Linked DNA regions of Arabidopsis thaliana. The protein of the gene in region 3 interacts with the protein of the main gene of each other region in a pairwise test. Each region holds a gene or a part of one and is shown on either strand. Other genes may lie near its edges. The genes, in order: MUB6, MUB2, UBC9 and MUB5.

Evidence for each region.
Region 1: the proteins of UBC9 (region 3) and MUB6 interact in a two-hybrid assay, tested with the Arabidopsis thaliana proteins (one study listed by BioGRID).
Region 2: the proteins of UBC9 (region 3) and MUB2 interact in a two-hybrid assay, tested with the Arabidopsis thaliana proteins (one study listed by BioGRID).
Region 4: the proteins of UBC9 (region 3) and MUB5 interact in a two-hybrid assay, tested with the Arabidopsis thaliana proteins (one study listed by BioGRID).

The regions. Positions count from the first base shown.
Region 1 is NC_003070.9:7,768,986-7,774,628, forward strand, and holds MUB6 (membrane-anchored ubiquitin-fold protein 6 precursor), read left to right. Parts: upstream 1-2,673; 5' UTR 2,674-2,911; coding exon 2,912-3,044; intron 3,045-3,147; exon of another isoform or gene 3,148-3,499; coding exon 3,500-3,670; intron 3,671-3,802; coding exon 3,803-3,858; 3' UTR 3,859-4,169; downstream 4,170-5,643. Other genes in the region: AT1G22040 (Galactose oxidase/kelch repeat superfamily protein), read left to right, coding at 1-812; AT1G22060 (sporulation-specific protein), read right to left, coding at 4,388-4,664, 4,758-4,900, 4,982-5,083, 5,256-5,411. UniProt on the Arabidopsis thaliana protein: May serve as docking site to facilitate the association of other proteins to the plasma membrane.
Region 2 is NC_003076.8:5,016,746-5,023,392, reverse strand, and holds MUB2 (membrane-anchored ubiquitin-fold protein 2), read left to right. Parts: upstream 1-2,466; 5' UTR 2,467-2,823; exon of another isoform or gene 2,824-3,159; 5' UTR 3,160-3,287; coding exon 3,288-3,420; intron 3,421-3,622; exon of another isoform or gene 3,623-3,897; coding exon of another isoform or gene 3,898-3,952; intron 3,953-4,084; coding exon 4,085-4,249; intron 4,250-4,369; coding exon 4,370-4,446; 3' UTR 4,447-4,713; downstream 4,714-6,647. Other genes in the region: GAUT14 (galacturonosyltransferase 14), read left to right, coding at 57-112, 194-349, 600-1,190, 1,279-1,581, 1,679-1,960; CLPB3 (casein lytic proteinase B3), read left to right, coding at 5,138-5,365, 5,471-5,689, 5,770-6,007, 6,092-6,287, 6,368-6,422, 6,511-6,647. UniProt on the Arabidopsis thaliana protein: May serve as docking site to facilitate the association of other proteins to the plasma membrane.
Region 3 is NC_003075.7:13,913,790-13,920,180, forward strand, and holds UBC9 (ubiquitin conjugating enzyme 9), read right to left. Parts: upstream 3,712-6,391; 5' UTR 3,505-3,711; coding exon 3,345-3,504; intron 2,912-3,344; coding exon 2,784-2,911; intron 2,618-2,783; coding exon 2,513-2,617; intron 2,420-2,512; coding exon 2,276-2,419; 3' UTR 1,742-2,275; downstream 1-1,741. Other genes in the region: SLAH2 (SLAC1 homologue 2), read right to left, coding at 4,501-4,885, 4,973-5,004, 5,105-5,875, 5,962-6,333. UniProt on the Arabidopsis thaliana protein: Accepts the ubiquitin-like protein SUMO/SMT3 from the E1 complex and catalyzes its covalent attachment to other proteins. Mediates the selective degradation of short-lived and abnormal proteins.
Region 4 is NC_003070.9:29,282,734-29,288,255, reverse strand, and holds MUB5 (membrane-anchored ubiquitin-fold protein 5 precursor), read right to left. Parts: upstream 3,294-5,522; 5' UTR 3,080-3,293; coding exon 2,950-3,079; intron 2,872-2,949; coding exon 2,695-2,871; intron 2,598-2,694; coding exon 2,542-2,597; 3' UTR 2,174-2,541; coding exon of another isoform or gene 2,093-2,173; 3' UTR 1,916-2,092; downstream 1-1,915. Other genes in the region: AT1G77880 (Galactose oxidase/kelch repeat superfamily protein), read left to right, coding at 1,189-1,581; KOM (Rhomboid-related intramembrane serine protease family protein), read left to right, coding at 3,798-4,108, 4,596-4,759, 4,856-5,019, 5,106-5,374, 5,466-5,522. UniProt on the Arabidopsis thaliana protein: May serve as docking site to facilitate the association of other proteins to the plasma membrane.

The DNA.
Region 1 (5,643 bases), on a different chromosome or scaffold from region 3:
ACTCTTGGAGTGAAGTTAGTTCTATGTTGGCGAGTCGGGCTTATTCCAAAACAGGTGTATTGAATAAGAAACTATATGTTGTTGGAGGGGTTGATCGGGGACGGGGAGGTTTATCTCCTCTTCAGTCAGCTGAGGTTTATGATCCAAGCACGGATGCTTGGTCAGAGGTTCCGAGCATGCCTTTCTCAAAGGCGCAAGTGTTGCCAAATGCGTTTTTGGCTGACTTACTAAAGCCTATTGCCACAGGAATGACTTGCTACAACGGTAGGTTATGTGTTCCTCAGAGTTTATACTCTTGGCCTTTCTTTGTTGATGTTGGAGGAGAGGTTTATGATCCCGAGACAAATCTCTGGGTTGAAATGCCGTCTGGTATGGGTGAAGGTTGGCCTGCGAGGCAAGCAGGTACAAAACTGAGTGTTGTGGTGGATGGTGAGTTATACGCTTTTGATCCTTCTTCTTCGATGGAGAACGGAAAGATTAAAGTGTATGATCAAAAGGAAGATACTTGGAAGGTTGTTATTGGGGAAGTCCCTGTGTATGACTTAACAGATTCAGAATCTCCTTATTTGCTTGCTGGGTTTCATGGCAAGCTTCATTTCATTACTAGAGACCCTAATCATAACGTTACAGTCTTACGAGCTGATGTCCCCAACATCCCAGTCTCCTCATCATCATCTAGCTCCAGTTCTGTTTCAATCCCACACTTAAAGACCAATGCACCTAACAAGTCAGACACTGTTACATGGAAACTCATTGCAACCAAGGACTTTGGTGCTGCTGAACTTGTTAGCTGCCAAGTTATAGATATATAAAGTCATCAGAAGCTTTGCCCATTTCTCGTGGGCCATTAAGAATCTCTGTGTACAGCCAGAAGCAAAAACATGAAGCTTATGAGATGTTCTCCCAAAGATTTTATCGTCTAATTCTTCGATGATATATTCTTCTGGCATTTGGCTGCCAAAGTAAGCTTGAGTAATAAAATGTTGTGTGACAAATATATAATAATGCGACTGTTGTATCGAAATTTTTGACATGCGCAAATATACTATAGCAGTACATTACCTAGCAGTACAATTGCAGAAGTTCTGAATATGTAACATCAGTATGCTTCTGCATACATATTTCTGTAGTTGGTAATAGAGAAACTTGTAAAAGAAATAAAGTTTCAGGTAAAATTTGCAACTTATGGTGTGTATGTGATTCAGGCAATTAAAACAGTCTAACACAAAAAGGTATTGAAACTTCCTCCTTTTTTGGTTAATCCATCTCAACCAGGGATCACATTTCTTGAATTGAATCTAAACCGGAAATATTCGGTTCGGTTTAGAATCTCTCTTCCTTGCACTGAATTATGTAGCTCTCTTGATTAGTTTCTTGCTTCGACTACAATGGTGGACCTAAAGAAAGTAAGAAGACAAGAATGATATGTATAATTGATGCCTTAAGAATTTAGAACGAATCATATGCTCATAAAGCAAACCGTTTCTAGATTCTCATTTCACACTTCACCTCTTTTCTTTTTATCTTCTTTGATTTTTATATGAAAGTTGTTGCTTTTGATTTATTTCAACGAATCTATTCTATGATTAATTTTTGACATTTGTTTTAGTACTTTAATCTGATGTGAAGGAAATAGTCTTCTTTTCATGAATATCAAAGTATCACTAGCCTGTTAATTATTCCATCCAAAGGGTGTATCGGTTCTTTTTGTGGCATGCACGAACGAATTTTTCTTCATAATAATATTTGGTTGGTGTTTAGGAGGAAATTTTTTATGGTTGAACTTGAACATTTGAATTTCAACCATTTGGAACCAAACTAATTCTCATTTTAAATGATTTCCACTTGAACAAAAACCGATTATATCTATTTTTTTTTCTTCGAATGTTTTACTTGTAAGTTGGTGTATACAATTAGATTCATTACTTGAAAGTGAAGGAATTTTAGTTATACCTCGGTAACATTTTTTCTTTCGAACCAAATCGAATCCAAATGTTAAAGCATTAATTAGACCAAAATTTCAATTATTTCATTTAATTACCAATCAAGATTACTCACTAGATTGTTCCTCATGTCTTAAAACCCCACGGAAAATAATCGATTTGTGTAATTAAACACAATCTTTAATTAGTTAAAGTAGTTAGGCTTATATAGTTGGTGGCTGCCATTTTCTAACACATTCGAAATTACAATATGTTTCTTTGTGTGTTTATGCTAATCCTAAATTCCAGAAATGCCCCTCTTACCATATAATTTTGGCATATATGCCAACATATTAAAACAAGAATCCTATAAAATAATAGAGGAATCCAAAACACAAGAAATAAATTTCTTTAATTAAAAGAAATTAATGGTTGTTAAAGAGTTCAATATCAAAAGGGAAAGTATCAATACCCACTTAATAGGAATCAAAATTATTGAAATCCACTTGTTCAATATTGATATTGTACAACATGGCCAGAGTTTTTGACTAATACAATATCACTATCGAACAATCTAAAGTTAATTCACAAGTCTATATTTTTGATTAGTAAGTCACTAAATAATCAAAAGTCAGCTTTATTGATGATATTGTGTAGGGGTAAAAACGTCAAATTGAGGATTCAGGTAGGATTACGAAAATAAAAAAGAATCTGAAAGTTTCCCAATTTGTGTTATGTCTGCTCAAAGACAGCCTTTGTAACCAAAACCAAAGTGTCTCTCTTTTCTTCTTCCTAAATTTCTTTCCACGAGAATTGATTTGGGTTTGTGTTGTTTTTTTCTTTCTTTTTTGGGTTTTTGTAATTGGGTTGGTGAATAATCCTGCAAAAGTGTTCGATGATTTTCTCCAGAGAAGAATTTTGAAGTTTCTCTTTTTAGAGATTTTTTTTGTTGTTGGGGTTTTTTGTTTTCTGGGGGAAATTGAAAAGAGATGGCAGGTGAAGAAGATTGGATAGAACTAAAGTTTAGACTAGCAGATGGTACAGACATAGGTCCAAGCAAGTATAATCAATCTATGACTGTTTCTTCTCTTAAAGAGAAACTCATTTCTCAATGGCCTAAAGGTATTTTATACTTATAGTTATGCTTTTGCTTCTTTCTACAGCTTTTCACGGTTTTGATGGTTGAGTCTCATTTGATTCATTGCTTCATGTATTTCTTTTTACTCTCCATTGGGTTTGATTGTATTAAATTTGTCTTCTTTCTGCAATGATTTGAATGTATGATGAACTTTTTTGGGCTAGTCTAGGTGTTGAACTTTGTAAAGTATGAGGCTTTAATAGATAATTATAGTTTTATAGTGTGAAAGGTTTAGTTGTTGTTGTGTTAAGATCACTCTAGTTACTGATTTTGGCTAAAACTAGTATAAGATTGATGTCTCAAATTGTATTGTTTTTGCCTGGATTTTTTTGGTTTAGGTGTTTGGTGTTTCTTGGCCTTATTGAATCTTATGTTGCATTTACTTTCTCTACTTAAGGTTGTTTTATAATTGCATTTTCAATGTTTCTCTGTTTCACAGATAAAGAAAATACTCCAAAAACTGTAAATGATATGAAGCTCATCAATGCCGGGAAAATACTGGAGAACAATAGGACACTTGCTGAATCCAGGCTTCCTGTTTGTGAACTTCCTGGAATGATCATTACTATGCATATTGTTCTTCGCCTTCCTACGTTAGACAAAAAGAGCGGTAATTTTCTCTACCTTGTTATACTGTTTATCGCAGTGTAACAACATGTTCCCTTGAATTCTGTACTCGTTAACTATGGCTTTGAGATCATGTTCATATCATCTCATTATATGAAAATTTTCTGTTCCACAGAAAAACTGCAGAATGATCCACCGATGAAGAATCGCTGCGTGTGCACCATTTTGTAGCTGCAAGTAAATTGGATCATAGAGATTTATATCCGTCATGATCATGGCACTAGATGATGCTCCACGGAACAACTTCCATGGCATCAAACAAGCTTTGAGAAGTTCCTTCAGTACAGAATGATTGGCATAGGCATGAAAACAAAAGATCTTCATTACAGAATTTGGTTCCATGTGTGTGGTTTTTAATTATTATTTTTTAAAAATCAAAATGGCTTGAGAAAATGTACTATGATTCTTGAAGGTTGGTTCTTTTATAAATATATACAATATGTTCAATACAACAGTAAATAACAAGAATGGTATTGTCCTTATGTATGTTCTTATTCTCAACTAAACTTCTCATTTTTTGAATTAAAGAATATGGGGTTTCTATACAACACAGAGAACACATCACTTTAAAAACCCCATATCTTGAGACTCGAATAAACAACAATTATATTAAGCTATCTATAACTCGAGACCACTCTTGGAACTTGGACTTCTTCAACATTCTTGGAACTTTATATACATGGTAAGTAACATCTGTGCATTAATGTTCACCAAGAGTTGCTGATGATGAACGGTTCAAGAGCATAGCCTTCTTTGATGCCCTAACGTTCTTCAGAGTCATCATCAGCTTTTGTCTCTCTCCTTCAACCTCTGCAAACTTGAGGCTTAGCTGAGAATAACGGTCATGCATTTCCCTAAGCTCTGTCTCCATAGACGAATACCGGCCTTTGGTATCCAACATTTCTTCAATTAGATTGTTTATGTCTCTGAAACTCTGGAAGATTGCTTCGTCATCGGTGTGTTGCTTCAAGAAAGAGCTGCAATTTCAGGCAAAAAGGAATAATAAGTTCAACGTGGTCTAGTATAGTTACAAAGGCGAAAATTAATAGCAGAATTTTTGAATCGTGTACCTCTGGAAATGGGTGGTTGATTTTTTCTTTCCACGCAATGCTTCAGCGAGTTCTATTTCCAGTGCAAGAACCCTTTCCAATGCGTTTCCGCAACTGAAATTCTCTTGAGATAGAGGGAAGATACTCTGAAGTTCTTCCTTTGCCTGTCGAAAACAAGATCATAAGACTTCTACAGACACTTATGCTTCAATTCATTACAATCTCTAAAAGGTAAACATCAGCACCTGACGCAACTGCATCAGCTCCTGTTCCAAACCCGGAAATCTGGTGTCTGAATCATTATCATCTTGAGGTTCAAGTAGATTCTCATTCTTCATCCGTTCTAGCTGTAAAGAAGACAGAAAAAAGACCCAATGACGCTAGGCAAAATCTTTCTGTAGATAATTACCATCATGTAGATATTGTAATTCAGAATTGCCATCCAATCCAAACTAAGTCACTGATATTAACATTTCCAATTAATTTAACTAGTAATTTTAACCCTTAATCCAGTATTACCTCATCGTTTAGGTGATCCATGCTAGACCTTAAAGTCTCTGCCCTGAATTTATCATTGATCAAAGCTAGGCTTTCTTCACGTTTGTCCAGCGCCATTGCTTCTCCGGAAGGTAATTGGTCTCTGTTTCCATTTACACTGCTCGATTGAATAGTACCCTGATGAACATACATTAAAATAAGAAATTCCTTATAGCACCTTTTTTTACCCGTCGAGCACAGGAAATAACATCCTTAATATCTAACTAGAGAACTATTTACAGAAAACATCGACATACGTAGTAGCCTAGTCATTACCAGCTTGATTAAATCACGTAAACTAGTTTTGCATAACATTTCATAAAGAAGATGCAGCAGAAGTTTAGGGTTGGAACAGAACTCGTTTTAACTT
Region 2 (6,647 bases), on a different chromosome or scaffold from region 3:
CAGTGCTCTTGTGACCCTCTCATTAAAGTTTCTCCCCCTTTGCTTCTTACTTTCAGATTGTTTAGGGAGGCGGATAGGTCCACGTCTTCTTGGTAGGGTAGATGATTCAGAGGTGAGTGGTTTCTTTCGTCGGCTAATTTTCAGTATCTTTTCATATTGTGAATTTATTTATCTCATGTTTCTCTTGCTACAGAGACTAGCTAGAGACTTTTATAAAATTCTAAACGAAGTAAGCACTCAAGAAATTCCAGATGGTTTGAAGCTTCCAAATTCTTTTAGTCAACTTGTTTCCGATATGAAGAATAACCACTATGATGCAAAAACATTTGCTCTTGTGCTGCGAGCCATGGTACGCTTTGTCTAATCTGAAATTATTTCTGATCCTACATATTATATACTTGCATCAAAAGGACATTTGTTTTTGTTTAGTTAGAAAATATTTTGCATCTATCTGTGGCTCTTGCAATTGTCAAGTTGGTTTCTTTTCTTTTTTATTTGCATTTGGAAGAGATCTTTGTTAATTCTTGTTGCTCTCTAAAGTGAGCCATATCAATGGGAAGATTATCATATGTGATATATCTCTATCTTGTCTTGAACAGATGGAGAAGTTTGAACGTGATATGAGGGAATCGAAATTTGCAGAACTTATGAACAAGCACTTTGCAGCAAGTTCCATTCCCAAAGGCATTCATTGTCTCTCTCTAAGACTGACAGATGAATATTCCTCCAATGCTCATGCTCGAAGACAGCTTCCTTCACCAGAGTTTCTCCCTGTTCTTTCAGATAATGCTTACCACCACTTTATTTTGTCCACGGACAATATTTTGGCTGCCTCAGTTGTGGTCTCATCCGCTGTTCAGTCATCTTCAAAACCCGAGAAAATTGTCTTTCACATCATTACAGACAAGAAAACCTATGCGGGTATGCATTCATGGTTTGCGCTTAATTCTGTTGCACCAGCAATTGTTGAGGTTAAAGGTGTTCATCAGTTTGACTGGTTGACGAGAGAGAATGTTCCGGTTTTGGAAGCTGTGGAAAGCCATAATGGTGTCAGGGACTATTATCATGGGAATCATGTCGCTGGGGCAAACCTCACCGAAACAACTCCTCGAACATTTGCTTCAAAATTGCAGTCTAGAAGTCCAAAATACATATCTTTGCTCAACCATCTTAGAATATATATACCAGAGGTAAATCTTTATCCCCTAGTTTGAACTTGCAATAGAACTCATGGGGATTCTAAATCATTTGCCAATTTCGTCTCTTTTTTTGGAATAGCTTTTCCCGAACTTGGACAAGGTGGTTTTCTTAGACGATGATATAGTTGTCCAGGGAGACTTAACTCCACTTTGGGATGTTGACCTCGGTGGTAAGGTCAATGGGGCAGTAGAGACTTGCAGGGGTGAAGATGAATGGGTGATGTCAAAGCGTTTAAGGAACTACTTCAATTTCTCTCACCCGCTCATCGCAAAGCATTTAGATCCTGAAGAATGTGCTTGGGCATATGGTATGAATATCTTCGATCTACAAGCTTGGAGGAAAACAAATATCAGAGAAACGTATCACTCTTGGCTTAGAGAGGTAACTCTATCGAATAAGCTTACACTTTTTTGTTTTTCTTTAGCAGAATCTAAAGTTACCTCTCTAATCTACTCTGTTTACTTTTGCTTTGGAACAGAATCTAAAGTCAAATCTGACAATGTGGAAACTTGGAACCTTGCCTCCTGCTCTTATCGCGTTCAAGGGTCACGTACACATAATAGACTCGTCATGGCATATGCTAGGATTAGGCTACCAGAGCAAGACCAACATAGAAAATGTGAAGAAAGCAGCAGTGATCCACTACAATGGGCAGTCAAAGCCATGGCTGGAGATTGGTTTCGAGCATCTGCGGCCATTCTGGACCAAATACGTCAACTACTCAAATGATTTCATCAAGAACTGTCACATATTGGAGTAGGAAAACCGAAACTTTGAGATGATCATGAAGGTAAGAGTTACAGGTGTATGATCATGAAGGTAGTTACAGGTGTAAAAGAGGAGAAGTAGTAAAAAAGACAAGGCAGTCTGCAGATATTACACTCAGTCTAAAGAAGGAAGAATCAGAAATTTAGTTTGCCACATACATAAGAGAAACTTGGTTGCAGCGAAGGGAAGGTTGCATAAGAGAAAGAGAGAGAGAGAGATAAAGATTCATTCTTTCTGTAAAATAGAAGGTTACCCTTTTTTTGAAATTCTTTTGGAGAATCCAATTCTTGAATCTTTTTATAAGAATGGGGAAAGAAAGATTGGGTTTATAATTCTTTTTTGGTTATTAAGAGAGAGAGGGAGAGGTTATGACCAGAAAAGCCAGTTGTTGATAAATTGAGGAACACACTTATACACTTGTTTTGTTGCTATTTGCTCCACATTTCTTATTAATATCATCATTTCAGTTCCTAATCTTTTCGAGCTGTGATTTTGAATGTAATCTCTACAAAGATCGTTGATGATTAACCAAACAAACAAAAATCTCCAATAGCTTTTGAATGTACAAATAAAAATGAGATCATATCAATGTACAGAGAGCATTTGGTAATATAATTATTATTTTTAAAAGGAATTTAAAAGGTAGAGCATTTTAATTGGCGTAGAGATGGGAAGAAGAAGAAGAAGAACAAGGACATAAAAAGGATTTGGGGAACATTTTGGCTGCAATTTATTCTCAAACCTTATGAGTGAGATCTCTCTTAATCATTCTCTCTTTCTTCTCTCCTCTGTGATGTGAGGTTTCGAAGATCCTTCTCTGATTCCTCATCAAACTCAGATCAGTAGCGGACCCAAGTAAGAACACCTAATTAGGGTTTCTTTTTGTTCGTGTTCCATCGGTTAATCTAATACCAGATTGAGTTCCATTGGTACTTTTGTTGTTCCTTTCGGAGATAATACGATTCATGATCGATCATATTTTCAAGGAATGATCTTTGCTATTCTTAGGATTCATATTATTTGATCAATGCGTTTCTTATATTCATTTTCACCATTCAGGATCATCTACCAATCCATAAGTTTCATTAGGGTTCACATTGAGACTTGAGCTAGAGAAAACATGTTTTTGTAGCTGCTTGAGAATTTGTTCTTGTGTGAAACAATTGGTTCCTTGTTTTTGATTTATTGCAGATAGGATCAAAGCAAACGAGGTTTCAATTTAGAGTTTTTTAAAGCTCAAATCTCGGTTGCTTCGGTTGAACTTCTTGATACACTGTCTCGTTTTGAGTTCTTGTTAGGTCATTCCTTTAGAGAGATATATGGCAGAGGTGAAGGATCAATTAGAGATTAAGTTCCGGCTTAACGATGGTTCTGATATCGGTCCTAAATTGTTTCCTGATGCTACTACCGTTGCTACATTGAAAGAAACCGTTGTTGCTCAGTGGCCAAGAGGTCAGTGTCTATGCTCTTACTCTGCTTTACATGTATTGATGATATTCATTTATGCAATGAGATAAAGCCGCGTTAAGCTTTATCGGTCTGGCGATTTCTCCATGACTAGAATGGTTTAGACTTTAGAATTGCATTGTAAAGAAACTTTCATATTTAGCCTTTTGTTAGGTTCAGAAACTCATTGCCCTCTTTATTGATCCTTGAGAAACTGGTTACAAAGATAAATCAATGACCAAACGTAAGAAGAGACTGAAACAGAATTAGAGCAAACGAGAGAGTAATTTCTGTACAACTCTTCTTTCTCCCCAATGCCCCCAAATTATCTAGACCAATCAGCTTCTTAAACCTTCAGCTCTCAACTAACCGATGAGGTCTATTACTGAGCTGGCAAAGCTACACTTCCCTGCATCACCCCTAGGCTAGTTACATTAGTCCTGCACTGCACTGGACTTAACAAGAACGCCTTCTCGCTTCTCCATGAGGACCTGCATTGGTTTTTCGCCTATATCTGTGATAATATCAAAACCTGATTGTGAGTCATTGGTGTTATGGTTTTGCTTGTTTGTATAATTTTGAGCAGCTAAGGAGAATGTGGCAAAGACACTGAAAGATATGAAATTGATTAACCCTTTATGGTTTTGCTTGTTTGTATGAATGTGAGCAGATAAGGAGAACGGGCCAAAGACAGTGAAAGATGTTAAACTGATAAGCGCGGGTAGAATATTGGAGAACAACAAAACGGTTGGAGATTGCAGGAGTCCCGTCGGCAATTTCTCAGGTGCTGTCACCACAATGCATGTTATAATTCAACATCAAGTTACTGAAAAAGGTAATCTTTAGATTCTTAAGCATTGTTCATAGTATATACTGTTTGAAAACCTCATCTGTTAAGGTTATGCATTTGTATGAGAATCTGAAGATCATTTGCTTTGCTAATGGTTTAAAACAGAAAAGAAGAAGAAGAAGCCTAAAGGTGATCTGAAACAGAACAAATGTGTCTGTTTATGTTTTGGAGCTCGTTGTTAACAATTGTGCAAGACAAGTAGAGAGAGTTAAAAAAGCTTGGGAGATTCACATTCTGTTCTTGAGCCTTCTTCAATACCTTTTGCTCTTGTTCCTTGTAATTCTTTTTTCTGACATGACATGACATGATTGGCTTTTTGATCGCTTGAGGTTTGGTTTCTATTGTATTTCGGATTCGCAACACCGTGGAAATTATTAGGTAACAAACAAATTTGCACGGAATAAAGTGAATCATCACGAAATATAACTTGACATAATTTCCGTGGTTAACAATGTTTGGTTTCTGTTAACAGTCGTAGTGGGCCAATCTCGTTATCAACGGCCCAAAATTCGGGAAACTATATATTAATTATTATTTTCTGCTATATTTTTGGACGGTTCATATTAATTCTACTTCGAAAAATCCTAAGTTTTCTGAGAGTGAACACGTGTCAGAAGAAGGTCTCAGTAGTAAGTACATCCCGATGGTTCACGAAGACTCCGGCGTCGTTTAGCAACTTCTTCTTCTTCTTTATTAGTTTTCTACTTCACCTTTTCTCTTGGTTCTCGCTAAAACTACACGAGAAAGCAAAAGCGTTTCTCTTTGCTGATTTCTTAAGTAAACATCTCGCCGTTTTGGTGGATTTGTGCTAAACTACCTGTTGTATTTGATCTTCCTTTTTCAATTGCTTGCTGTTCTTAAATTTCCGAGCTAATGGCGACGGCTACGACGACTGCTACGGCGGCGTTTAGTGGTGTAGTCAGTGTAGGAACGGAGACTCGAAGGATTTATTCGTTTTCTCATCTTCAACCTTCTGCGGCTTTTCCGGCGAAGCCTAGTTCCTTCAAATCTCTCAAATTAAAGCAGAGCGCGAGGCTCACACGGCGGCTTGATCATCGGCCGTTCGTTGTCCGATGTGAAGCTTCTTCTTCTAATGGAAGGGTAAAGTCTGAAACTTTAGGATTTTTAAGTAATCACAAATCTGGAATTGACACTGGAAGGATTTTACTGTACTGGATTGCTAATTTGGGTTTGATGTTTGTATAGCTTACACAGCAAGAATTCACAGAAATGGCGTGGCAATCGATAGTTTCGTCACCAGATGTTGCAAAAGAGAATAAGCAACAGATTGTGGAGACAGAGCATCTAATGAAAGCTCTTTTGGAGCAGAAGAATGGTTTAGCTCGTAGGATTTTCTCTAAGATCGGTGTGGATAACACAAAGGTTCTAGAAGCAACAGAGAAGTTCATTCAACGCCAACCAAAGGTAATGTAATGTCTTTAAGGGTTTGATATTTGTTGTTTCTTTGTTTGTGAGGCTAATGAAAATTAAGTTTGTGATTTCAGGTGTATGGAGATGCTGCTGGTTCGATGTTGGGGCGTGATTTGGAAGCTCTGTTCCAGAGAGCAAGACAGTTTAAGAAAGATTTAAAGGACTCTTATGTGTCAGTGGAGCATTTGGTTCTTGCTTTTGCTGATGATAAGCGGTTTGGGAAACAGTTGTTTAAGGATTTTCAGATATCAGAGAGGAGCTTGAAATCTGCAATTGAATCCATTAGAGGGAAACAATCAGTCATTGACCAAGGTTAGTAACCACATTTGAGGTTGATAGTTTATAATTTGATTGCATAATTTAGTGGATAAGAGAGTTAATGATCATGTTTGACAGATCCGGAAGGCAAGTATGAGGCGTTGGAGAAGTATGGAAAAGACTTGACAGCAATGGCAAGAGAGGGAAAACTAGATCCTGTGATAGGTAGAGATGACGAGATCCGAAGATGCATTCAGATTCTCTCAAGGAGAACAAAGAACAACCCTGTGTTGATCGGTGAACCAGGTGTTGGTAAAACTGCAATTTCAGAAGGGTAAGTTATCATCAAAAGATTCAGAAGTTGCACATATGTGTATGTAATGCTAAGATATTGCATCTCCACTTTTGAATCAGACTTGCTCAGAGGATTGTGCAAGGAGATGTACCTCAAGCATTGATGAACAGAAAGGTATTCAAATACTTATCAAACTGTTTCTTTTTCTGTTTTTAACAATTTGGATAACCACTGATTTAACCGTTCTTTGGTTTCTTTTCAGTTGATATCTCTTGATATGGGTGCTCTCATTGCTGGAGCAAAGTATCGGGGAGAATTCGAAGACAGACTAAAAGCTGTGCTTAAGGAAGTCACAGACTCAGAAGGCCAAATCATTTTGTTCATCGATGAGATCCATAC
Region 3 (6,391 bases):
TTTAAGTTTTATTCAACGCAAAAGGTTTTGTTTAAGAGATTTGATTCACGGCAATATTAACATTAGTGACTGGTCATTAATGCCATTTAGTGGAGGCCACCAAAGGTTACGATTCTCTAATTTACTAAAGACAAAACAGGGGATCTCTAAGATCAGGCTGTAACTAAGTTATTTTCTTCAGTTCTAATTTAAATATTTAATAAAAACCTGGCGTTAACCATGCTCTCTTGGGCACGACCTCTCTCTTTATCATAATTAATAAACTTTTTTTTTTTAAGTTATGGAGACTTTGAACATAGATTAAAAGTAGTCCAGTCACTGACAGAGTGACATTGTATAAGTTTTCGGGGGTATTGAAGGGATATTTAGTAAGTAAACCCTTCGGTCGTTAGACATAAAAATTAGAAAATTTATGGTGACTCTTAGAAAGTACTATATTCTGTAATAGAGAACGGTCCATGCTCGAATAGATCGTGTAATGGTTATTTGGGTTGCACTTTAACAAAAACAATGGTTTTAATTTGGGTTGCAACGGGTGTTAGTCTGCCTTTAATTCTGGAAAGCTGATATTCTGATTTCTTACAATAATTTTCGTATTTTTAGTACATGAAACATTGCCGTTGGTGGGTTAATGTAATTGATATATTCTTAGTGGGATTAGACGTGAATCTTTTCTTTTTGTGTAATAGTACTACTCAAATTTGTGAGATAGTTTTTAGAAAATCTGTTGAATCATGTAAAAGGTCGAAACTAGTTGAAAGACAAATGGTAAGATAACTTATAACTCTAGTTTTAACGGCTTTAGCTGGTTGGAAACAGAAAGTTTTACTGCTTTCGTTCTTTCTAATATGTTTAGAGATCATTAAATTTCGTACGTATGAGTATTCATATACGAATATAATTGGTTTATGTAGAAGTGTAGAACACAGTAATGTAGTGTTATGCTGTTAGGTTTTACTATATAAACAATTTCTATTCATGATACTATATACCATGCATACATATCTATTACAATTACAGATTTAACATAGAACTATTATGAAGTAAAAGACAAGATTATTCAATGCAACTGCTAACCCACACTAAGACCATATATGATGCTGAGTTTACATGTGCATCTAGTGACTAGTGGTAGTTTAAATGCTTTAGAAGGAAAAGTATACCATTCGGTTCTAATAGTATAATTTATTTACAAGTTTTATCAGTAGTAGTGCTCGAGTAGTGAAAACACACATTTAAAAACTTATTCGAATGGACTTGGAAGCCTCGGTAAACCCAAAACTCAAAATATATAGAAATACAAGTGTTGGAGTTTCGAGAAAGAAAATAAACTTTGATTTGAATCTTAAGATAAAGAGTTTTAAAGATTAACATGAATTGATCAAGCGTCCACTAGCACTTTCATTAAGCAAAATATGCATTCATAACATTTTTTTTTTATAAATCGTCAACAAACTAACGTGAAATTATAAAATCATAACCTTAATCTCAACATAATAAGCCCTGATTACTGCTTTAAACCTCGCCAACCTCATAAGCTCCCAACCTTAACAACAACATGTGTCCATCGAAGAGGAATCTAATTCGTGGGATAAACATTATGTTAAAATATACTATACTCCATCACTGAAACAGAACCTTGAACACAAAAGTGTCATAATAGTTGGGTTATACCATAAAAAAGTAACCGTTTTTTCAAGGTCTTTATACCATAATGTTTAGTAGCACTAATGGCTAAACCCGTTTGAGTATATTATTTGGGGAAAAGGTGATTTTAATAGTTTTACTATTTTTTGTAAATCTTAAATTGGTCAAACTTCAAAGTGATAATTCCTTTGTCCCATTTTATTAAATTGTTCCAGATGGATCACAATCACAATCTTAACTCATGAACAACTTCACTCTTAGGCCCCATACACCATTTACATAAATCATTGCCCACATAATACTAAAATGAAAATGTTACGTATGTAAGTTAATAATGTTTACGAAAACGGAAAGGCTTACGATTGTAGCTAGTTTGGGCTTTGGACAGAATAAAATCCAAAATAATATGAGCCTTGATAAACACAGAGACGCATCGGCATCACGCAATAAAGAAACAGCAGACGGGATGATGATTTACGTTTTACAATTCCATAGAATGGAGATCAAATAATTTCTTACTGATCCTGTCTTCACAAATTTTATAAGACAGACAAGTCTATAAAAGATCATTACATAGAAATAAGAAGAGTTTAATTATTAGGGCTCTTCCTTAAGGACAGTATTTGTGTCAGCCCATGGCATACTTTTGGGTCCAGGTCCGAGCAGTGGACTCGTACTTGTTCTTGTCTGTCTTGTACATGTGAGCTATCTCAGGGACCAAAGGATCATCTGGGTTTGGATCCGTTAACAAAGAACAGATCGATAGCAGCACCTGTTGCACCACACAAAATTGATGTCACCTGGAGAGCAAAGCTGCAAAATTATGGTTCTAATATGATAAAGATGAGGAAGAACAAAAGAAAACCTTGGAAATTGTGAGAGCAGGACTCCACTGCTCCTTCAAGATGTCGAGGCAGATGCTTCCATTGCTGTTAATGTTTGGATGGAACACCTTCGTCCTAAAAGCCACCTACATTTTTTGTAACAACATACATAGAGAGCAATGAAATCAAGAACACAGAGAAAAGAACAATAGATAAACGATGGAAGATATTAGCAACAGAAAAATGATGGCCGAAGTAAAGTTGGAAAAAAAATTCAAAGAAGAAGAAGCAGCTGTAGAGATTTGAATATACCTTAGGAGGCTTAAATGGGTAATCTGGAGGGAAATGGATGGTTACAAGAAAAACTCCTCCAGAATAAGGGCTATCCGATGGACCCATTATAGTGGCCTGCCAATGAAACATGTCTTCCGCAACGGGTCCTGTCAACATTTAACCAAAACTTCAATACCAAACCAGAAAAGCAACAACATGCATATAAGAAGAAGTTGGTAAAAGGGGCAAAATTAGAAGAGAACAACAGAGTTATAATCCTAAGATCTCATCCAAGGAAATCAAAAAATGAAACCAGATCTATCAACGAGCAAACAAGTTTGAACATTGACCTTTATGATTCATTCCTAGAAAAATCACAAACAAGTGTTACCATGAAGTATGCAAATTTCTGTTATTAGCAGCTGAATTACCTAAAAATCAAGGATAATTAGATCTAAGCTAACGAGAGATCAATATCAAACCGTCGCACACATAAAAAACCAGCTCAAAAGAAGATCAAAACCAACGACCCATCATTATCCAGCAAGAGGAACATAATTATTGAATCAAAGTTGATAAATCGACTAAAAGAATAGGTACCTGCGCTACATGAAGTAGGAGGATCCTTCTGCAGATCCTTCAATTCCTTCAAAATCCGTTTCGATGCCATTTCCAAAATCCCACGATCCAAATTCCAATTGAAGACTCTGCAATCGAAAACCAATCCAATGGTCAGATGAATTAAGAAGAAGAAAAACATAACCCAGAAAATTATATATAAAGACGGGAAGAAGATCCAAAATCATAACTCCGAATTCACGTTTTTGGTTTTGGTTCTTCGAATTTAGGAGAAGAAAGGGTGGTGAAACGGAAGAGAAGAAGAAGTTGAAAATGTTGTGTGGTCGCGACCACAATAAATAGGGTGCGGGTAAATTCTGGTTCGTTTGATTAGTGGACTCTGCTGCTTTATTCTTTCAGATTCGTTCGTTTTAAATAATGTCAAACTTTTTTTTGGGTGGGCCTAACTCAGCGTTGTACCTACGGCACATATAAAATAACGCGGTTGTTCGTATCATCATCATGTGGCGCCGATGTTTTCCAATCCCGTCGAAGCGTCGTCGTTTAAGTGGTTTAGTCAAAAGTCGTATGATCCGACGGCTGAGAGTTTTGTAGAACGAATCATTTGACGTAATTTGAATGAATTTACCATGCTTTCAAGATTGACCAGCGGTTGATGAAGGATGTTTTTTTTCAAAAACGTGATGTGTAGGAAATTATTACATTGTTTTTACTGTCATATGTCATATGTGACAAGACGATTCGTTTTGGTGACAAAGTATAAAGATGGAGGATGAATTAACATAACAGTGACATTAAGATATATTCGACAAATTAGATGTTAAGCTAGACATTATTTCCACGAAATATGATCTAACTTGTTAAGACAAATTGTGAAGGTTGCGGTTGGTGTGACTAAGTTTGCCTATAACTCAAATAGTTTTTACTTGAATTGAATCAAACAATACTATAATAACTAAATCTAACGAAAGAATAAGCCAAAGTGATTATAGTTTTTATATTTTTGCTGAAATGAAGAAGTAATTTATCATGATCAGTAAAAAGAATGGTATGCAACTAAAATTTACCAAAATAATTAAGATTTTCGCTAATTTATTATTATTAGCACTGCTATAGTGTTGTACATGAGAAGTTAATTAACAAAGATCATGAATTTTCATCACATTTTTTTTTTTTGTTAATTTGAATTCTGAACCGTGGAACTATCTACATTTACTAAAGGAGGAGATTCTAAATCTATTTGATTATCTTCCGGATCCAAAATCTTGGGACATCTCTCATTATTTCCATAACTTTCTTTTGTGAGATGTTTGAACCATCTCTTCTGCTTCGGTTGTTCTGCACTTATGGCAATGACAACGTCATTGGGGAAGAGATCACGTTGGACAAAAGCATGCATCACCGTCAACCCAAGCACAGCTATCACCGTCAGAGTTGCTGCTCCCGACATCACAACCGATAGTATCTTCGTTGCCACTCCCGTGACTTCGTCTGAATATTTGATCGTCGCACTGGCCACTGCCGTCATTGGAAACGTGTAAGCCCACCAAGCTAGCGAGAATCTGATATTTTTTGAATAATTATGTCAGATAACATGTATGTTATTTGGTTTGGTAAATTAGATCCTTGCAGTTCAAGAAACAGCTTACTTGAATCCCCGGAAAAGGTTAATCCGACAAACCTGAAACAAGAATCACAAGAAGTAAAGCTGTTACATTTCTTGTACCACAAGAAACTCAGCACTAGCTCACTAGAACTCTGTTAATGAAAACAAAAACTACCAGAGAGAAGTACAAGAACAAGGAGATGAAGTATGCTAGACGCGAACCGAGATCGAAAGAGGCAGAGATCTTGGTCCAGGCCATGGAAGCGACGGCTGGTGCAGCCACAAAGAGGAAGAAAACAGGGTGAAGCTCTTTAGGTAAGGTTTCATTCGTGGGAAGTCTCTGATAGAGAGTCACAAATAAAACCAAATAATAAGCCAACCCTATGGCAAAGAAGAATATTGGTCCTTCTTTCAACCCCATGGATGCTCCTAGAAGTGCTCCTGCAAAGTTACCGACAATGGAAAGGTGGTTTGTAGGGTTGGCGACTTTGGAGAGGCGTCTTTGTCCACCAGACATCCACTGTCCGTAAATCTTCATCTCAAGAAACAAGATGGGAGCCATAAGGAAGTACCAAAGTGTAGAGGGAAGATGTGAGATGATAGAGTGTGGGATTCCAAGTGCCAAGAAGAGGATTGATATAAGAGGAGCGAAGAAGAAGTTGACTCGGATCGGATGCCGAAACTCACGGCGAACCGCCTCAAAGAAGAGGATGGTTTTGAAGAGGTAAGTGATAGAAACGGCGAGGAGGAGAAGGAGAGAGATCCACCAGAGCACGTGGTTGATCACTTGAGTCACGTGCAAGAACTTCTCTGCCTCTGTGGTTGCTAAGGTCTTCCACATGATGGCTTGACTACTTACTCCAAGACACATCCCATATGATGTGATTGGAAACCGTAGAAGAAACGGCCACGTTTTGTCCTCAGGCAGAACTATCTTCTCCTTCTCCTGTCATCCACCAATAAACCCATAAATAGAAGTAACCAAACACAAGTATAACTCAACCATATGAGCAAAAATGAATGATAAAATACCTTGAGAGTTTCAAGCTCGGGGCCTTGAAGAGCATCAAAGTATCTATCAGCGGTTAAAGATTCAGTAATCTCTTTATGATCCTGCAACGAACTCTCAGTGGGTTTCCCACGTAAATTCGATATCTGACGTTCGAGTTTCCCGGACATGGTCCTGAATAGGTCATACCTCTTGTCGTGGAAGTTTCTAGATGCTTCTTGATCAAGAAACATGGCACCTCGGGGCATAGACTTGGAATGAAACTTCATCTTCCTCGCTCCGATTCGTTTCTCTAATCTTGAGAAATCTCCAGAACCGGATTGACGTTGGTTTTCTAATAGATCTGAGTGGTTTGCTGGAGAAACCAAAGGACTAACCGATCTTGGATTATTCATTGTTTTCCCTGTTTTAGTACATAAATTTGGAACTATATTTATAAAGATCCAAATATAT
Region 4 (5,522 bases), on a different chromosome or scaffold from region 3:
TCAAAAATAATCGTCCAAGTGAATCAGGCAACAACACACTAAACAACTTGCATTTATAATATTTTCGCAAATCATAACATTGATAGACAAAAAGGTAGTTTAATACTACTTTGTATTATTGTCGTTATTGCATCAACATTTAAATTCTAACAAGCATAGTACATGTTTATGATTGAATTAAAAGTACAAAAATATCTAACATGGGGTCACTTCTAATCATAGTGCTAATCTACTTTATTTATATAAGATCTTGAGTTGAATAGTACTAATCCTCAGTGTTTATAGAGTTAATATATATAGTCATCTAATTCGTTTTAGTTATGTCATCATTTATTAGGTTCCAAAATCCACTTTCGAATGAGCTACAGCCAGTTTTAATGCAAGTATTCGTTAACTATACTAGATTAGTATACAAAGAGAGTGATTATATAATTGTAGACCATTTCTTTAAAGTTATATAATGTGGGTGTTTAAACACGTAAGGCGTCGTGATGCAGAGGCAACTACGAGAAAAAAGAAAAGAAAACCAAACTTTAGGATCAAAAGAAGAGAATCCTTATCCCATCGTTCGTACCATATAACATATTTCACAATCTATTTAATATTCTCTATATATTTAAAAAGAGAAAAAAAAAACTAAAAAATCCGGAAAAAAATAGTTTATTTTTTATGATGTTTAATATCCAATTACTTTTTGGTTGAAAGAAAAATATATATAGTAATTAAAGTGTGCGATTTAATAGCTAAGAAATAAAATACAGTTATTTTTGTACTCATAATTTCATAACAAAAAACAAATTTCAATTTTACCTTTACAAATGAATTAACTATTAATTTTTAAATGATATAAAAAATTTTAGTAACATATTAAATTTAATAAAACTCTTTGGAAGTGAATTAAGAGAGTGGGCTTGAAATCACCAAAAAAAAAAAAGAGAGTGGGCTTGAATCAGTTAAAAGGCCCATTGAGAACCATCAGAATCCCCGAAATCTCGTTCTTCTCCAATTGTTTTTTTTTTCGTAAAAAGGCTTACGATTTAAATTAAATAAAAGAAAAGAATACAGGCCCAGCCCAATAGCATTTTACTGACCCAAATTGTTGAGATTAGCGAAATAGAAAAAAGCATTTGTCGGAGAAGAAGAACTGTGTTGGTCGGTGACTGCCAGAGGATCAAGTCGTCGGTGAAGATGAGGAAGAAGAAGAAGAAGATTGTGTTGAGTAGCACATCTGAAGCTGAAAAGGTTAGTATACCATATCTCCCAGACGATCTACTCTTGAATTGCTTAGCACGCATCTCTAGATTGTACTACCCAACTCTCTCGTTAGTCTCCAAGAGATTCCGCTCTCTTCTCGCTTCCACAGAGCTCTACGAGACCCGACGGCTTTTAGGTACCTCCGAGAGTTGTCTCTATTTCTTTATGACTGAGAGGCGCAACGACCATGAGGTTTATGGGAAAGTTGAGTGGTGTCATGTTGTGCATACGTTGCCCCTATTCAATTTGTCTCGAGCACTATCTTGTTACCACTGTTTGAGTCATTGCTTCCTCATGATCATATATATCATTTTGTTTTCTATATGATGTAGGATTTATGGTTTGAATATGATTGCATAATGCATACAATCGTTTCGAGAACTTGCCATAGCCAATTCTTGATTACATCATGTTGATTTACTGACTTGTGGTTACTAGTTTAACTAGGCTGGAAAAAACAGAGAATTAGGCACTTGAAGGACAAAAGCAAAAAAGGGGTCATTTTCAGAACTAGTCATCCATAATAAACTTAGTGTACTATATAGTCATCCATAATAATCTTAGTGTACTATATAGGTTGATTGAAAGCAACTCATGTTATATCATATTGTCATGTCATACCATCATTTTCCTCACCCATTAACTGATAGTGGACCTACTCTCCATCTTAAGGCCATAAAATGGTGTCCCTTTCTAATCAAAACTTACCCTACAACCTTCCACAATGCATGTGCTGATTTAGTAGATCTGTATAGTCAGACCAAGCTTCCAGATAAATATGCTTAAAGAAAAACACAGTAATTATTTTATCATCACTCAGTTTCTGAAACTCTTGCAGCTCTTTCTTGAAGCAAACATTGTGATGATGAAGTATAGAGCCATAAACAATCTAATTGAGGAAATGCTCAAGCTTGTGTGAAGATGTAGTGATCACAACAGATAAAAGTTGGAGCATTTGTTACTATGTGGATGGATATACATCTCTAAGTAAATATTGTAGTGCTCTAAAGTTATATATAACTAGTTATCTTCTTGTGTTATAACAGGTCCTTTCAAGCAACTCATATTTGCTTTTCACTCATATGAACAAATTTTTACATAATACCTCAATCTTCAACAACACAGTAATTTTTCTTAAGCCATTTTTGATAAACAATGAAGAAGAAAAGGAAGGAAGAAAAACCAAAATCATTCTGGTAATGAAGATCCATGTTGAAGACTTTAAGATATGGAAAGTTTTTTCCAATGGAATAAATTGTATAAAGGATCAAAAATCTCTAAGTGGAGCTACAAAATGCAGCATACACAGTGACTCTTCCTTGGAGGATCATTCTGCAGTTTCTCTGAAGAAACAAAAGAAAACATAAAAACAAAGCTTTGAGATATACAAAATACACACAAAAACACTCAAGAATTGAAGAGAAAATGTATAGAAATTACCTTTTTTCTTCTCAAAGAGAGGAGGACGAAGAACAACATGCATTGTAGTTACAATTCCAGGAAGTTCACCAATAGTTATTAAGGACCTTGCTTCAGAAAGTGTTTTGTTGTTCTCAAGTATCTTCCCACCATTGATGAGCTTAACCTCATTTATCATCTTTGGTGCGTTTTCTTTGTCTGTCCACAACAAGATTTTCAACTTCACCTTTAAACAAATAGCAAAACTTTTGAGAAGAAACATAGAAAATGATTTACCTTTAGGCCATTGAGCAATGATTTTCTCCTTGAGAGATGCAACAGTCATGAATTGACTATATTTGCTTGGACCAATGTCGGTACCATCTGCGAGTCTGAACTTCAATTCTATTAAATCTTCATCTCCCATCTTTAAATTATTACCTCAAGAAAAGATCTCTAGAAAGAAGAAAAGCAGAGAGTTCCGTTGTCTTTGAGCAGAGCCAAATTTAGAAAATAACAATAATTGGGTCTCTTACTCTCTTTCTCAACTTATATAATAACTACCAGAAATCTCAAGATACAGTCATCTCTCCATTTACATTTATACAAATCTGAATTTACCTTTTTGGTTGACTATATACGATAAATTTGCAACGTATATTTAGCATACTAAGTACTAACTATAAATGATTTGGATTATATGATGATATATTAACATAAGCTTTTATGATCACTTGTCATATTAGACGCCAACCAAAACCAACCGTCACGAATACATGAATCATTCCTTGCGTACATTCCACAAACACGATACATTCTTTGCTTGAAAATAGTAATTAATAATGGCTTAATGATACTAATCTTTTTATATGTTCACTGAATCTTTTTTTAATAAAAATAAAATACAGAATCAAATGCGTTGAAAAAATTAATCCAGCTATATCTTTTAAAATTTTGATTTGAGTTTAATACAAATGATAATGACGTGTATAGTAAGCGGTACACGCGCTCTAAATCAATTCCGAACCGGATCGTGAAACGGTTAGCGTTCGGTTTGCTCTCCAATAACATTTTCCCGCCAATTTCTACAAAGTATAAAACAACCCATTCGTCATCATCCCCTAATTTCTCGCTCACCTTCAACAATGGAGGTTCCTACAGAGTCAAAGACGACGCAGATCGATGAAATCTCTCACAATCTCTCGTTTACCACTTCTAACGCCGGCGATTCTAGCTGGGACAAGATCTCATTCTTCCGTCACCGTTCACGGCAAATCAAACGAGACACTTGGCTTGTCTCCGTCTTCGTTCTTCTTCAGATCGTCCTCTTCGCTGTAACTATGGGCGTCAACGATTGCTCCGGGAACTCTCACGGTCACTGCTCCGCTAAACTCCTTGGCCGATTCTCTTTCCAGTCTCTCTCCGAGAATCCTATGCTTGGTCCCTCCGCCTCAACGTAAGTAGCTCTCTCCGGCGGATTTCGCTTTTGGTCTCTGCTTGTAACTGATTTTGGAATCGATCTCTAATTGAATTGTTAGATCCTTTAGAGATGGATTTTGGATGCTTCGTTGCTTAGACCTGTAATTTTGGATGTTTCATTCTGCTCATCTTTTGGATCGGTAACGATAGGTTGCTGAAGTTTGTTGGATTTGGATGATACTAGTTTCCAAGATTGATGAGTTTCAGCTGATTCATAGTGTCTCAATCTCTGATTACAGTGACAACCGACAAGTTCTTGTTTACAATTCTGTGTTGTTCTAGTGTGTGTGTGTGTTTATTTGTGTGGCTCTTGGTGCTACATTCTGTTGATGAAGCAATCTAATTCAAGTGGTGGTTCTTGTGAGAGCTCTATGTTTCAGAAAATTAAGGGAAATAGGGGTAACTTGAGCTATCAAATGACTGATTATAAGCTATGGACTACTTATTTTCTTGTGAGTTTGCAGGTTAGAGCATATGGGAGGTCTTTCTTGGAAAGCTCTGACGGAGAATCATGAGATTTGGCGTATTTTGACATCTCCATGGCTGCACAGTGGATTATTTCATCTATTCATAAATCTTGGGAGTTTGATTTTCGTAGGGATATACATGGAGCAACAGTTTGGACCATGTAATTTAGACTACTTGACTTTTGATTAGTCTGTTTTGGATGGAATCTATCACCTTTCTAATCCACCTTTCTTCTGCTTTTGCTTTGGTTTTGTAGTGAGGATTGCAGTCATATACTTCCTCTCTGGCATTATGGGTAGTCTGTTTGCTGTGTTGTTTGTTCGGAACATCCCATCAATCTCTTCTGGTGCTGCTTTCTTTGGGTTGATTGGAGCCATGCTTTCTGCACTTGCAAAGAACTGGAATCTATATAACAGCAAGGTCAAGGATTTCTTGTGGTTCTGTTTTGTCTCTTGTTATCTTCTTCTCATAGCTTTTCTGATTGTATTTTCTTTTGCTTGGTACAGATTTCAGCCTTGGCGATAATATTCACTATCTTCACTGTGAATTTCCTGATAGGCTTTCTCCCTTTCATAGACAACTTTGCAAATATTGGTGGTTTCATATCAGGATTCCTCCTTGGATTTGTGCTATTGTTCAAACCACAACTGAGACAGATGCCTCCATCTCATAAGGGGAAATTGTTTGAAGATGATATGAACAGATCCACAAGGCTTAAAGAACAGTTTGACAGACCGGTATTAAGGATTATATGCCTGCTCGTGTTTTGTGGAATGTGAGAATTTACCTCAAATCTCTTTTTGGTCTAGTTTTTTTTGTTTTATCTACGCTCTTGTGACATGAAAAAGCTTTCCATCTCTGTTTAGACTTGCCGGGGTTCTATTAGCAGCATGCTGGGGAGTCAATCTCAACCGTCATTGCCA